Anolis sagrei: one gene and its partner. The protein of the gene in region 1 purifies or fractionates together with the protein of each later gene. This does not show direct contact. Links are inferred from orthologs where the notes say so. Each region holds a gene or a part of one and is shown on either strand. Other genes may lie near its edges. The genes, in order: TESK1 and RABEPK.

Region 1 (7,500 bases):
GCTTCTTTCTCAAGGGAAGAGCGAAGAAGTGCGCTTTCGGAGTCTTGGATTTTGTGCAGGGAGTCAGCTTCTGCTGGAGGGAAAACAAAGATCTAGCACTTGGCATTGTTCTTAGGGAAAGAAGTTTTGTCATCTCGCCATTTTGAAGTTTTGGCGTTATGGGAGTTTTGGAACTATGTATTGGAAAGACTGCAGGGAAGCAAGGTCTGGCCTAACAGGTGCTTCTCCAAGGAGGGAGAAGAGGATAGGGTCATATTTGGATGCATGTAGAATCATAGAATCCTAGAATCAAAGAGTTGGAAGAGACCTCCTGGGCCATCATCCAGTCCCACCCCATTCTGCCAAGAAACAGGAATATTGCATTCAAATCACCCCTGACAGATGGCCATCCAGCCTCTGCTTAAAAGCTTCCAAAGAAGGAGCCTCCACCACACTCCCTCCGGGGCAGAGAGTTCCACTGCTGAACGGCTCTCACAGTCAGGAAGTATTCCTCATGTTCAGATGGAATCTCCTCTCTTGTAGTTTGAAGCCATTGTTCCGCGTCCTAGTCTCCAAGGAAGCAGAAAACAAGCTTGCTCCCTCCTCCCTGTGGCTTCCTCTCACATATGTATACGTGGCTATCATATCTCCTCTCAGCCTTCTCTTCTTCAGGCTAAACATGCCCAGCTCCTTAAGCCGCTCCTCATGGGGCTTGTTCTCCAGACCCTTGATCTGCTCCCTCCTCCCTGTGGCTTCCTCTCACATATTTATTATACATGGCACTCATCATATCTCCTCTCAGCCTTCTCTTCTTCAGGCTAAACATGCCCAGTTCCCTAAGCCGCTCCTCATAGGGCTTGTTCTCCAGACCCTTGATCATTTTAGTCGCTCTCCTCTGGACACATTCCAGCTTCTCGATATCTCTCTTGAATTGTGGTGCCCAGAATTGGATGAATGCGTGTACATGTGTGTGAATGTTATGTGAAAACGTAATTCCCCTTTGTTTGTTTGTTAACCAATGTAATTGTGAATCCAATGTAGTTGCACAGAGTCTGTATGTCTGTCTGCCCAATGTCATTCTTGGTCTAAATGTTCTTCTGTAATCTGATCTACCTTCTCACACTGGAAATTGCAATCAAAAGAACCTATGCTTCAACTGACCACCTTGATTAGCATACGATGGCCTGACTGTGCCTGGAGCAATCTTTTGTTGAGAGGTGATAATGTCCTTGTTGTAGGTTTTTTCAGGCTATATGGCCATGGTCTAGAGGCATTCTCTCCTGACGTTTCGCCTGCATCTAGAGGCATTCTCTCCTGACCTTTCGCCTGCATCTAAACCGCGTTGAGTTGCCAGTTAGGCTGAGAAACTGCGGTATACAAGTATAGTAAAATAAATAAAAAAAATAAATAAGCATCCTCAGCGAGAGTGAGGTCTGTTGGAACTAGGACAATGGGTTTATATATCTGTGGAATGATGACCAGGGTGGGACAAAGGACTCTTGTCTGCTGGAGCTAGGTGGGAGTGTTTCAACTGATCACCTTGATTAGCATATAATGGCCTGACAGTGCCCGGAGCAATCTTTTGTTGAGAGGTGATTAGATGTCCTTGTAGGTTTTTTCAGGCTATATGGCCATGGTCTAGAGGCATTTCCTCCTGACGTTTCGCCTGCATCTATGGCAAGCATCCTCAGAGGGAGTGAGGTCTGTTGGAACTAGGAAAATGGGTTTATATATCTATGGAATGATGACCAGGGTGGGACAAAGGACTCTTGTCTGCTGGAGCTAGGTGTGAATGTTTCAGCTGACCACCTTGATTAGCATTTGAAGGCCTGGCAGTGCCTGGAGCAAACTTTTGTTGAGAGGTGATTAATAAACTTTATTTGTACACCCCCCTGCCCCCACGTTCTCAAAGGGGACTCGGGATGGCTAACATGAGGCCAAGCCTGGAATTACAATACAACAAAATAAAATACATGAGACAACAGAATAGGAGATAAACAAATGCAAAATAACATGATGAAGACATAAATGATCAGCATGGAATGTCCTTGCAGTTGCGAGGCCTGGCTGCTTCCTGCCTGGGGGAATCCTTTGCTGGGAGTGGTTAGCTGGCCCTGATTGTTTCCTGTCTGGAGTTCCCTTGCCTTGTGGGTGTTGCTCTGAGGGTCCAAAAGGGGGGGGCAGTCTGGCTGGGATACAAAGTATCGCTAATTATGATAATAATAATAATAACAACAACACTTAGTTGATAACCCAGGCTACTTCCCTCCTTGAGGAGGAGAAGCAGCAGCTCCCCCGAGTCACTGGGAAAGGGGCCGCCTTGGCGGAACTACATCTACCGGGATCATCCCTCCACACGACGCTGAAGAGAACGGACCGGAAGGAGGGAATGAAGGAAGGCCGGAAGGAGGCCGAGGCCACGCCCCCTCCCTGGCAGGGGTTAACAAGCTGGCCCCGCCCCTCAGTCTGAGGAGCTTGGCTGGGCCTGGCGCAGGAGTTCAGGCCTTGGCCACGCCCCCCCGTGACATCAAGGCCACGCCCCCCGATTCGCCCCGCCCCTTAGTCTGGGGCGCTGCACTAGGCCCCGCCCTCTCCACCGCCTCCTGCTTCTGCTGGCCTATCTGGCGCAGGCGTTAAAGTGCCGGCCCCGCCCCCTTCGTGACGTAGAGCCCCGCCTCCTTCACCGCCCCGCCCCTTAGTCTCTTAGAAAAGATGGAAGGCCAAGCGCCGGGAGGAGGGGTTAAGGTGATTGCCCCGCCCCTTTCTTCGCCTCGCCCCGCCCCCTTCGTCGCTGTGCTCGGGAGCACCCTGCCGCAGGGGGAAAGGCTCTGGCCCCGCCCCCTCGTGACGCAGAGGCCCCGCCTCCTTCACGCCCCGCCCCTTAATCTCAGGAGGAGAAATGGGAGGACAGGCGCCGAGGTAAATGCTCTGGCCCCGCCCCCTCGTGACGTAATAGCCCCGCCCTCACCGTTGCCCCGCCTCCTTCACCGCCCCCGCTTCTGGAGGCATGTCTGGCGCAGGCGGTAAAGCGCTGTCCCCGCCCCTTTCGTGACGTAGAAGTCCCCGCCTCCTTCATTCCCCGCCCCTTCCTCTCAGGAGTTGCGCAGAGAGAAGAGAGAGAGATAGGTTGAGGCGATGTCCCCGCCCCCTTCATGACGTGTGGCCCCGCCTCCTTCACGCCCCGCCCCCTAGTCGGGGTGCCTCGGTAGAGCCTGGCGGAGGATTAAAGGCTTTGGCCCCGCCCCCTTCGTGACGTAGAAGCCCCATCTCCTTCACGCCCCGCCCTGCTTGAGGGGCTGAGGGGGAAAAGGAAAGGGCCTGAGGCCGCGAGGTATGCTGGGAGTTGGAGTCCAAAACACTCTGAGGGAAGAAAGGCCCAAGTTGCGCAGGGAGGAGGGAGAGACGGCTTAAGGCGATGTCCCCGCCCCCTTCATGACGTTGAAGTCCCCGCCCCCTTCACGCCCCGCCCTTTACTCTCAGCAGCTGCGCAGAGAGGAGAAAGAGAGAGAGAGATAGGTTAAGGCTTTGGTCCCGCCCCCTTCGTGACGTAGAAGCCCCCGCCCCCTTCACGCCTCGCCCCTTAGGAGCTGAGAAGGAGGAGAGAGAGATAGAAGCCCAGGCGCAGCTGGGGTTAAGGCGATGGCACCGCCCCTTCATGACGTAGAGGCCCCGCCCCCTTCACGCCCCGCCCCTTAGAAGCTGAGAAGGAGGAGGGAGAGATGGAAGTCCAGGCGCAGCTGGGGTTAAGACGATGGCCCCGCCCCCTAGTGACGTAGAAGCTCCTCCCCCTGTGTGGCCCCGCCCCTTCTTCTGAGGCGGAGGGAGAGATAGGTTAAGGCGGTGTCCCCGCCCCCTTCATGACGTAGAGGCCAATCTCCTTGACGCCCCGCCCCTTAGGAGCTGAGAAGGAGGAGAGAGAGATAGAAGGCCAGGCGCAGCTGGGGTTAAGGCGATGGCACCGCCCCCTCGTGACGTAGAAGCTCCGCCCCCTGTGTATCCCCGCTCCTTCTGTTGAGGCGGAGGGAGAGATAGATTAAGGCGATATCCCCGCCCCCTTCATGACGTGGAGGCCAATCTCCTTCACGCCCCGCCCCTCAGGAGCTGAGGAGGAGGGAGAGATGTCCCCGCCCCCTCGTGACGTAGACGCTCCGCCCCCTATTTGGCCCCGCCCCTTTTTCTGAGGCGGAGGGAGAGATAGGTGAAGGCGATATCCCCGCCCCCTTCATGACGTAGAGGCCAATCTCCTTCATGCCCCGCCCCCTAGGATCTGAGAAGGCGGAGGGAGAGCTGTCCCCACCCCCTAGTGACGTAGAAGCCCCGCCCCTTCTTGTGAGGCCTCAGAAGGAAGGCGGGAGAGAGGAGGCGAAGGAGGAGGGCCTGCCTGCCTGGCTGTTTCCCTCAGCGGGGATGCGCGGGGGCGCGCCGGGAGGGTCTCCGCCTCGTTCTCCCCCTCTTAGGGCCATGGAGGGACCTCGGGGGGTGGCGCCGCCGCCGAGGAGACCGGCTCCGGCTCCCCCTCCTCGTGAGGAAGGCCCCTCGGAGCCCCCTCCTCCTTCGTCCTCCTCGTCGCGGCCTCGCCCCTCGTCGTACCGGGCCCTGCGCAGCGCCGTCTCCACGCTGGCCCGCCTGGACGACTTCTTCTGCGAAAAGATCGGCGCCGGGTTCTTCTCAGAGGTCTTCAAGGTGAGGGAAGGGGGGCGTGGTGGCCCGAAATAGGCCTCAGGCCTTCCCTATTTCCCTCAGAGTGTTTTGGACTCCAACTCCCAGCATGCCTCGCGGACTCAGGCCCTTTCCTTAGGAAAGGGCCTGAGTCCGCGAGGCATGCTGGGAGTTGGAGTCCAAAACACTCTGAGGGAAATAGGGAGGGAAGGCCCAAGTTGGCCCAGGCCTGGTTTATTTACCTGTGTATTTAAAGCCTGGGCGTGGCTCTGGAGGGTCAGGGGTCAAGGGCTAAGGTCCCCCTTCTCCGTTGTTGTTGTTGTTGTTGTTGTTGTTGTTGTTGTTATCATCACCTCCTCCTCCAATTCAGCCCATTAATTAGGACCCTGCAAAGCACCCCAATGACTTAGGAGACCCTCCCTCCCTCAGGAAAGGGCCTGAGGCTGCGAGGCATGCTGGGAGTTGGAGTCCAAAACACTCTGAGGGAAGTAGGGAAGGCCCAAGTTGGTCCAGGCCCTCCCTCTGAAAGATAATGATAATTAAGCCCTAAACGACTCCGGCCCTGTTTACCTCTCCGAACGTATTCTCCCCTACGGACCATCAAGATTACTAAGATCATCTGGAGAGGCCCTGCTCTCGGTCCCACCGGCCTCGCAAGCGCGCCTGGTGGGGATGAGGGACAGGGCCTTCTCGGTGGTGGCCCCTCGACTCTGGAGCTCTCTCCCTTTGGAGGCCAGAACCGCCCCATCCATCCTAACATTTATTACACAGACTGGGCCACAGCCATGAGTTGCTGTGGCCCAGTCTGTGTAATATGTGTTTTGTGTGTGTATATATTTGCGCATATCTGTATATATGTGGTTTTGCACATACGTTGTAATGTATTTTTATTTTTTGGCTTTTTAAATCCCTTCTGCTGTTTTTTCCAGTGTTTTTATGAGTGATGTTCACTCATTGACCTGAGAGGTGTCTTGTGTCCAAATTTGGTGTCAATTTGTCCAGTGATTTTTGAGTTCTGTTAATCCCACAAAGGAACATTACATTTTTATTTATATAGATTTATGACATTTATTTACATATCTCCCTTGCCTTTCTTTCTCAGCCCAGAGTGGACTCAAGGTGGCTTTACATCCAGGGAGCAATTCAATGCCTTAAAACACAATGTACACTTAAATAAATATTAAAATAGAATTTAAAAGTACATTAAAAACAATATATTCAGAGTTAAACACGTCATCCACGAGTGTCATTTGGGCCATTCCAATGGTCATTGCACATGGTTCCAAGTCTATAGCACTAGTTCTCTAAAGGCTTGGTCACAAAGCCATGTTTTCACTCTTGTGGAAGGTCAGGAGGGAGGGGGCTGTTCTAATATCCCTGGGGAGGGAGTTCTATAGCCGAGGGGCCACCACTGAAAAGGAAGGAAGGCTATCGTCTCCGCCAATTGTGCCTGCAAAGAAGGCGAGACTGAGAGCAGGGCCTCCCCAGGTGATCTTAAACTCTGCAGTGATTCAAAGAGGGAGATATGTTCGGACAGATTGTGCAGGGAAAGGCCATCACCCTGTAGTAGGGAAACGGAGTCCAAACTCTGCAGGGGTTTAAAAGTCCAAGAGAACACTTTGTACTTTGCCTAGAAACTCATGGGCAGTCGGTGGAGTGAGATTTACTATCATAATTGACGTGTGCTCACTCCTGGACGTTCCCATAACCAATCTGGCTGCTCTGTTTTGAACCAACTGGAGTTTCTGAACAGCTTTGCATTGCAGGAGTCCGGCCTTGAGATGACCACTGCTGTCTTTGGGTCCTCCAAATCTAGGAAGGGGCGCAGCTGGCGGATCAGAGGGGCTTCCGGCCTCCTTCCTGCAGCCGCACAATCAGTGCAGACGGCGGCCAGCCAGACGGCCCTTAATGCGGCCCTTAATGCCTGGCTTAAGCTAATTCCCCGTGACCCCGTGCCCTTTCCAGCCACAGGCTAGCTGGCCTTTTCCCTGCCCACAGGGCCACTGCAGTAGGCAGGCAGGGACAATGGGAGGAGCAGGGGACTCACTTCGGCCTCTCTGACCTTTGCCCCCTCTCCCTCCACACTCTGTTTTGTAATGTTGTGAGCCACTTTGTACCTCCTGCAAGGATGGGAAAACATCAGAACATCCGGGCAATGTCGCCTGGGCAACGTCCTTGCAGACAGCCAATTATCTCACACCAGAAGTGACTTGCAGTTTCACAAGTCGCTCCTGACACACGCACACAACCCACCCGGAGTTTGAGATCTTCCGGGGAGGCCCTGCTCTCGATCCTGCCAGCCTCTCAAGCACGGTTGGCGGGGACAAGAGATAGGGCCTTCTCGGTGGTGGCTCCTCGGCTGTGGAACACCCTTCCTGTAGATGTTAGGCTGGCACCATCTCTCATGACATTCCGTAGAAAGTTGAAGACCTGGATGTTTGTGCAGGCGTTTGAGTAACTCAGTGCAATTCTGGTAATTTGAACATAGGAACGGAACAATGGACGACGAATTTGGATCACGCTTGGATGATGAGGCGATCGGGGATGGGATTTGTGATAACTGTGTATTGATGATGGTTTATTAGCTAGTAATGGAAATGTGTAATTTAACTGTTATGGTATATTGATTGCTGCTGTTTTTATTGTCTTTGTTGTTTGCTGTCTGGAAACCGCTGTGAGTCGCCCTCGGGCTTGAGATACAGAGGTATACAAAAATAGTAAATAAAATAAATAAATAAATATATACAGTAACAACAATAACAACAGCTTTTGTGATGTAGTCTTGGCCAGGCCTTTTCAGGTGCTTTCCTTGACCAACTGACAGGCCTGCCTGGATCCACTCCCACAAGCGTACCAAGATGC
Region 2 (7,154 bases), on another chromosome or scaffold:
GTCTGTACTTTGAAGCAGTCGAAAATCACAGGATGTGTTTTGACAAAATAAACAAGTCTCTACTTAAAAGCTCATAGATCTCTTCCAACTCTAGGGACCTCTTTTACTTCCCAAGAACCAAAACTCAAGAGCTAACCTGAGTCAAATATGTGAAGCTGCTGGTCTTGAACAGGGTCCGCTCCTTTGTCGCCGCCTCCAAAGACATACAAACGGTCCCCGATGGCCGCTGTGGACGTGTGAAAGGTCCGAATGGATGGAGGAGTCCCGCTTACCTCCGGCTTCTCCCATGTGCCAGTCTCTAAGGAGGAAAGCAGACAAACCATTGTTTGGTCAGTGGATTTTGGAAGGAACTACAGCCGTCCTTCCACATTATAATATAATATAATATAATATAATATAATATAATATAATATAATATTGTATATACATATAATATTTATAATATTATAATGTAATATAAAATAATACTAATAATATATTTTAATTATATAGTTTATATTACATGTAATATTACTAATAATATTAAAATATAATGATATAGTACAATATAGTAATATATAATACTGATATTGTACTCTCTTCACTCTGGCCTAGAGCGGCACTTGGTGCTGGTGGAGGGGTCCCCAAATATCCCACACTGCCTCAGGATATATCAATATCATAGGTATATGCTTAAAAGGCCCATGGGGATCTTAGTTATGATCCAAAGCAGTTTTTATTTATTTATGTATTTATGATATTTAAATACCGCTCTTCTCACCCCGAAGGGGACTCAGAGTGGCTTACATGATATATATACATACAATATATTATATTATTAGCCTAGTACAATATCAGTATTATTTATTACTATATTTTACTATATCTTTATATTATAATATTATTAGTAATATTACATGTAATATACAATATTTAATTATAATATATTATTAGTATTATATTGAATTAGATCATAATATAAATATTATATTATATTGTATATAATATAAATATTATATGTATATACAATATATTACATTATTAGCATAGCACAGAAGACAAGCTTTTTTTAAATACTGCTTTTACAGATGCATTCAACAATGTTGTGCCCCACCTTGAGGAGAGGGAGGTAAGAAATAAATTATTATTATTTATTAGAAATGGAGCCCCTGGTGTCACAGCAGATTAAACTGCTGAGCTGCTGACCAAAAGGTAGGTGGTTTGAATTGGGGGAGCTGGGGAAGCTCCCACTGTTAGCCCTAGTTCCTGCTGACCTAGCAGTTTGAAAATATGCGGCGGGAAGGTAATGGTGTTTCATGCAGTCATGCCAGCCACAGTCATTGAATCCTTGACAGCAGAAGGTGTCACCCCAAAAGAGATTCATCAGAGAATGCAAGCTGCTTGTGGTGGTTGTGTTGATGTGAGTACTGTGCGTTGTTGGGTGAGTAAGTTTAAAGGAGAGGGAGGTAAGAAATAAATTATTATTATTATTTATTAGAAATGGAGCCCCTGGTGTTGAGGTGACATCTTCTGCTGTCAAGAATTCAATGACTGCACATTGCTTAAGTCGTATTGACTGACCATCTGCGCAGGGTTCCATACTTTGCACTTTAACAACACAACAGTTCAATGCTAAGGCTTCCCGCCAAAATGGAACTGTAGAGGAGAGTCTACTGGACAAGCCAGTACCTGCCACATACCAGTACTGCCATCTATTGAGAAGTTACGAAGGTGGAGACATTACTTTTCATTCAACCTTCGTAGAAAACAAGAAATACTTACGAAGGTCCAAGACCTGCAGGCAATTCCGGTTGCCACCTTCGCTGGCTCCTCCGAAGACCCAGAGCTTTGTGGGCTGGCTTTCGGGAATGAAGGCAGCCTGTTCGTATCGGGGCAAAAGGCCTGACCACTTTGGGGCGCTCCACTTGTGCGCATCTGTTGGGAGACAAACAGGTGAGAAAGCACCACTTGGTCCAAGTAATAATAATAATAATAATAATAATAATAATAATAATCTTTATTTGTACCCCGCCACCATCTCCCCAGTGGGGACTCGAAACAGCTTACATGGGGCCAAGCCCGGACAACATATTACAGCAGAATGAAACCAAATACATAAACAAAAAACGTCTACACCGGGGAGTTAATGCGGTTTGATCCCTCACCGAGGTCAAGGGTATAGGAGTCGGAGAAGCTGCCGTTCGGGTCGGCCCCTCCGACGATGAGGACGGTGCCTTTCTTGTTGTTCGGGAGGTGAAACGAGACATGGCCGACGCGGGGGCAAGGGCCCTCCCCAAAGGGAACCAGGGAGTACCTACAAATAGAATAATAATAATAATTTAATGGGTTGCTGTGAGTTTTGCAGGCCATGTTCCAGAAGCATTCTCTCCTGACATTTCACCCACAGCTCGGAATATCTATATCTGGAATGGGTCAACTTCGGCCCTCCCTCCAGGTGTTCTGGACTTCAATTCCCACAATTCCTAACAGCGAATTGTGGGTATTGAAGTCCAAAACACCTGGAGGGAGAGCCGAAGTTGACCCATTCCTTATCTACACTGCTGAGTTAACCCAGTTTCATACCACTTGAACCACCCTGGCCCTATATTCTAGGACTTTGGTGAGACAAACATATTTCATTAAAACATTAAAACATATTTCATTAAAACACGCATTCATTCCCCCATCTGCATTCACACGTGCACCGCAGACCCGTGTTTACAGCGCACCAGCTGGCTACTTCCGGTTTGCTCCCAGGCTTCAGCTCTTCCAGCGCCGCTGGCGACATTGATGCAAAGGGGGCGGGGTTTGGTGCTGTCGCCACGCCTTCTTCGTCGTTGCTAGGAGATTTTAAGCCCCGCCTCCAGGCTGCTGCAGTCGACCTGCCACCTTTTTCGCCAAGAACCAATCCAAACGCCTCTGCGCATGCGCGGAAGCCGAACACAGAGAGACCGAAAAGGCCTTCGGAGACGGAAGGAATGTTTCCGCGCATGCGTAGAGACGCGAACGAAAAGAAGCGCGAACGAAAAGGACCATTGAGAAGAAAGAGGGTTTTCTGCGCATGCGCAAAGGGCGGAAATATAGAGCGACAAAGGGAAGCGGAAGGGTGTCTTCTGCGCCTGCGAAGGGGAGGCCCTTCGGAGGTGGAGAGGGTGTCTGCTGAGCCTGCGCAGAAGCTGGGCACAAACCCTCTGAGTGGAAAGAGGGCTTCCTCTGCGCATGCGTACAGGGAGGAAATACAAAGGGAAGCGCCATCGGAAAACGGAGGTGTCTTCCGCGCCTGCGCAGAAGCTGGGCACAAACCCTCTGAGAGGAAAGAGGGCTTCCTCTGCGCATGCGTAAAGGGCCGGAATACAAAGGGAAGCCCCTTCGCAAACGGAGAGGGTGTCTTCTGCGCCTGCGCAGAAGCGGCGAAGGGGAGGCCCTTCGGAGGCGGAGAGGGAGTCTTCTGCGCCTGCGCAGAGTCTGGGCACAAAGCGGGAGAAGGAAAGGGCCTTTGAGAGGAAAGAGGGCTTCTTCGGCGCATGCGTAGAGCCGACAGAGGAGGAGAGGGCGCCTTCTGCGCCTGCGCAGAGGCCGGGACGCTCAGGAGCGGATGTCCTCTGACACAATCCGGAAGTGGCCGCTCTCGCTTCCTGTCCCTTGACTCTCCTATGCCCCTTCTTCCTTCCGCTTTCCAAAATGGCGCCGCTGGACTTGGATAAGTATGTGGAGATCGCACGGCTCTGCAAATACCTGCCCGAGAACGACCTCAAGGTGAGGCCTGGAGGAGGAAGAGGGCCCGAAGCCTATTACACTAGGCCTGGGCCAAGTTGGGCCTTCCCTCCAGGTGTTTTGGACTCCAACTCCCACAATTCCTAACAGCCGGTAGGCTGTTAGGAATTGTGGGAATTGAAGTCCAAAACACCTGGAGGGAAGGCTTAAGTTGACCCAGGCCAGGTTTAGATGGAGATATAGAGAAGTCATGCACTGTGTGTATTGTATATAAACACTAAATTCATTCCATTGATCTGTTCTATTCTATCCATCCTTTGATCTATTCTATTGAGGGGTTGAGAGGAGACACGAGGGTTTTGGACACGAGGGCCATGTACAAATATGTGAAAGGATGTTACAAGGAAGAGGGAGCAAGAAATGATCTTTCAGTTGAGGTGTTTCAAGCTTTAAAGGTTACAAGAAGCACTTCGAACTGGGCTTGGAGATGGTATGGTTTTACTTCTGTTGGCACAATGTGGTCATTTCAGCCATTACTAGCCAGAAATGTTCCTGTGTTTTTATTTGCAATTATGTTGTTCACAATATGGAGAGCTCTTGTATTAAAACGATGTCCTCGTTCTAGCGCTTATGTGACTACGTGTGTGACCTGCTCTTAGAAGAATCAAATGTGCAGCCGGTTTCTACCCCAGTTACAGTCTGTGGCGACATCCATGGACAGGTGAGATTTCTCACGCATTTACATACTGTGGAGAATTTGATGGTATTTTCCTCTTCCATATAGTGGTTTTGGCTTTCTAAGCAATAGTTGCTATAGCTTAACGTGATCGGTACACTGGGTGCAGTGCCTAAAGACCTTGACCTGCATTTAAAAACAATCAGCGCTGGCAAAATTACCATCTGTCAGCTGCAAACGGCTGCCCTACTCAGATATGCACTCATTATTTGTTCATACATCACACAGTCTTAGACGCTTGAGAAGTGTCTGACATGTGTTCCAGTACAAAAGCCAGCATGGTGATCTTGTTTATTGTGTACTAATGTATATTATTATTATTATTATTATTATTATTATTATTATTAATGACATTTATATGCCGTCCTTCTAACCCCGAAGGGGACTCAGAGCAGCTTACAAGATATATATACATACAATATATTATGTTATTAGCATAGTACAATATCAGTATTATTTATTACTATATTGTACTATACCATTATATTGTAATATTATTAATAATAGAACATTAAGATCGTCTGGGGAGGCCCTGCTCTCGATCCCGCCTACGTCACAGGCTCGCTTGGCGGGGACGAGAGACAGGGCCTTCTCAGTGGTGGCCCCTCGGCTATGGAATGCCTTACCGGCAAACATCAGACAGGCACCTTCGTTGCTGACGTTTCGGAGAATGGTTAAGACCTGGCTTTATGAACAAGCGTTTGGTTAAGCAGTGCAACCAATCAAAGGAAGACGGTAAATGGAACATAGGAATGGCAGAATGATTATGAGAACGGATCTGATTCAACTGAGGCGTTATGTTATGTTTGTTTTGTTGATTTGTCTTGTTTGATTGTTAATTGTTGTGGATTGATGCTGTTGATCCTCCTTTTTGCATTGTTATGTTTTAATTGCACTGACACTGTTTGATAATTGTACCATGTAATTGTACCATTGAGTCGCCTGTTTGGGCTGAAAAATGCGGTATAGAAATAAAGCAAATAAATAAATAAATAAATAAATAATAAATAATATTACATGTAATAGAAAATATATAATTATTATAATAATATTATTAGTAGTATTATATTGCATTACATTATTAAAAATGATGATGATGCACTTTATTTATATTCCACCCATCTCCCCGAGGGGACTCAAGAGCAGATAACAGCATTTACAGCAGACATTGGCCAACGTTCAATGCCTTACAGTCCCATACAATAAGAGACACAAACACAGACATGGCAAAGGATTGTCCTTTCTCATTTCCGGTTTCTGGAGGTGTAGTGCTCTGTTCTGCCTCTGGGGGAGGTGTTCTCTATTTGCAAGCCGAGGAGCCTGTGTTGTCACCTCCTGGTCATGTGGCCTGCAAGACTGCTGTCTTTTCCTGCTGTAGCAGTACTTATTTATCTATTTACCTTTGTATGTTTTTGAAGTGCTAAGTTGACAGGAGCTAGGGCTAACAGCAAGAGCTCACCCCATTCCATGAATTCGAACTGCCAACCTTTAGGTCAACAATTTAGCAGCACAAGGGTTTAACCCATTGTGCCACTTTGGCCCCATTAATAAACATTACAATATAATTAAATATAGGAGTAATAACAATTAATAATTCAAAACAATACAGCAATAAACACTATTAAAATTCATAAATACCAACCAGCACCCTCTGCTTTGATATAATCTTTAACATTGTCTTCTTTTTTTGCCTTTCAGTTTTATGATTTATGTGAATTGTTCAGAACTGGAGGCCAAGTTCCCGACACAAACTACATATTTATGGTGTGTATAAATAGAAATCTGAAAATGTATACATTTACTAATGTCATAACATTGCAACTTAATCTTCAAGGTAGCTGTTTCTTTTGTTTTGCTACTCAGCGTGTCTCGCCTCTTTATGATGTTGTTTGTTTGTTTGTAGCCTAATGAGGGCTAGTGGGGAAGGAAATAAACAATTAGATCCTTGTCAATAATCATTTTTTAAATTTACATTTCGCTTTCTATGTTATAGTTACTGGACGGTGTGCACTAAACTGTTGTTTTAATTGCAGGGAGATTTTGTAGACAGGGGCTATTACAGCCTTGAGACGTTTACTTACCTTCTGGCCCTGAAAGCGAAATGGCCCGATCGCATCACACTCCTTCGGGGAAATCACGAAAGTAGGCAGATAACACAAGTGTATGGATTTTATGGTAAGTTTGCAATCAACATAAACATTGACATGAATTGACTTTATTTCAGTGTAGAAGAGCTACATGCTTTCTGTAACTGACTTTGAAATTATGACAAACCATTTTAATTTTTCCTTCTCTCTGCATTAGATGAGTGCCAAACCAAATATGGCAACGCTAACGCTTGGCGGTATTGCACCAAAGTGTTTGACATGCTCACAGTAGCAGCAGTAAGTTTTTTTTTTTTAAATTATTTTGGTATATGCTGCTCTCAAGTGCTTTCTAACTTATTGCAGCTCTTAAGGCAAAGATGTCATGGATATATTGCAAGATCAGTTCAGAAGGGGTTCATTTATTTATTTCCAATATTTCTATCCCACCCTTCTCAACCCCCGAGGAGGGACTCAGGGTTCGCTGTGGTTTTCCTTTGAGGCTGAGAGAGTGTGATTTCCCCATGGCCAGTCAATGGGTTTCCATTACATGAGTGGGAATGTGAGCCCTGGCCTCAAAGGCGTCCTAATCCAACAGTAAAACCACCACAATTTATTGAAACACTTTGCTTTTTAGTACA

What was found.
Region 2: the proteins of TESK1 (region 1) and RABEPK purify together in Homo sapiens (affinity purification with mass spectrometry; 3 studies listed by BioGRID and IntAct, with this or other methods). This does not show direct contact. The link is inferred for Anolis sagrei from reciprocal best matches to the Homo sapiens genes TESK1 and RABEPK.

Annotation. Positions count from the first base shown.
Region 1 is NC_090022.1:303,263,828-303,271,327, reverse strand, and holds the start of TESK1 (dual specificity testis-specific protein kinase 1), read left to right. Parts: upstream 1-4,282; 5' UTR 4,283-4,386; coding exon 4,387-4,662; intron 4,663-7,500. UniProt on the Homo sapiens protein: Dual specificity protein kinase activity catalyzing autophosphorylation and phosphorylation of exogenous substrates on both serine/threonine and tyrosine residues.
Region 2 is NC_090031.1:6,409,724-6,416,877, reverse strand, and holds the start of RABEPK (rab9 effector protein with kelch motifs), read right to left. Parts: upstream 3,029-7,154; 5' UTR 2,972-3,028; coding exon 2,709-2,971; intron 2,294-2,708; coding exon 2,145-2,293; intron 1,915-2,144; coding exon 1,762-1,914; intron 299-1,761; coding exon 137-298; intron 1-136. Other genes in the region: PPP6C (serine/threonine-protein phosphatase 6 catalytic subunit), read left to right, coding at 3,661-3,735, 4,319-4,414, 6,128-6,193, 6,463-6,604, 6,734-6,813. UniProt on the Homo sapiens protein: Rab9 effector required for endosome to trans-Golgi network (TGN) transport.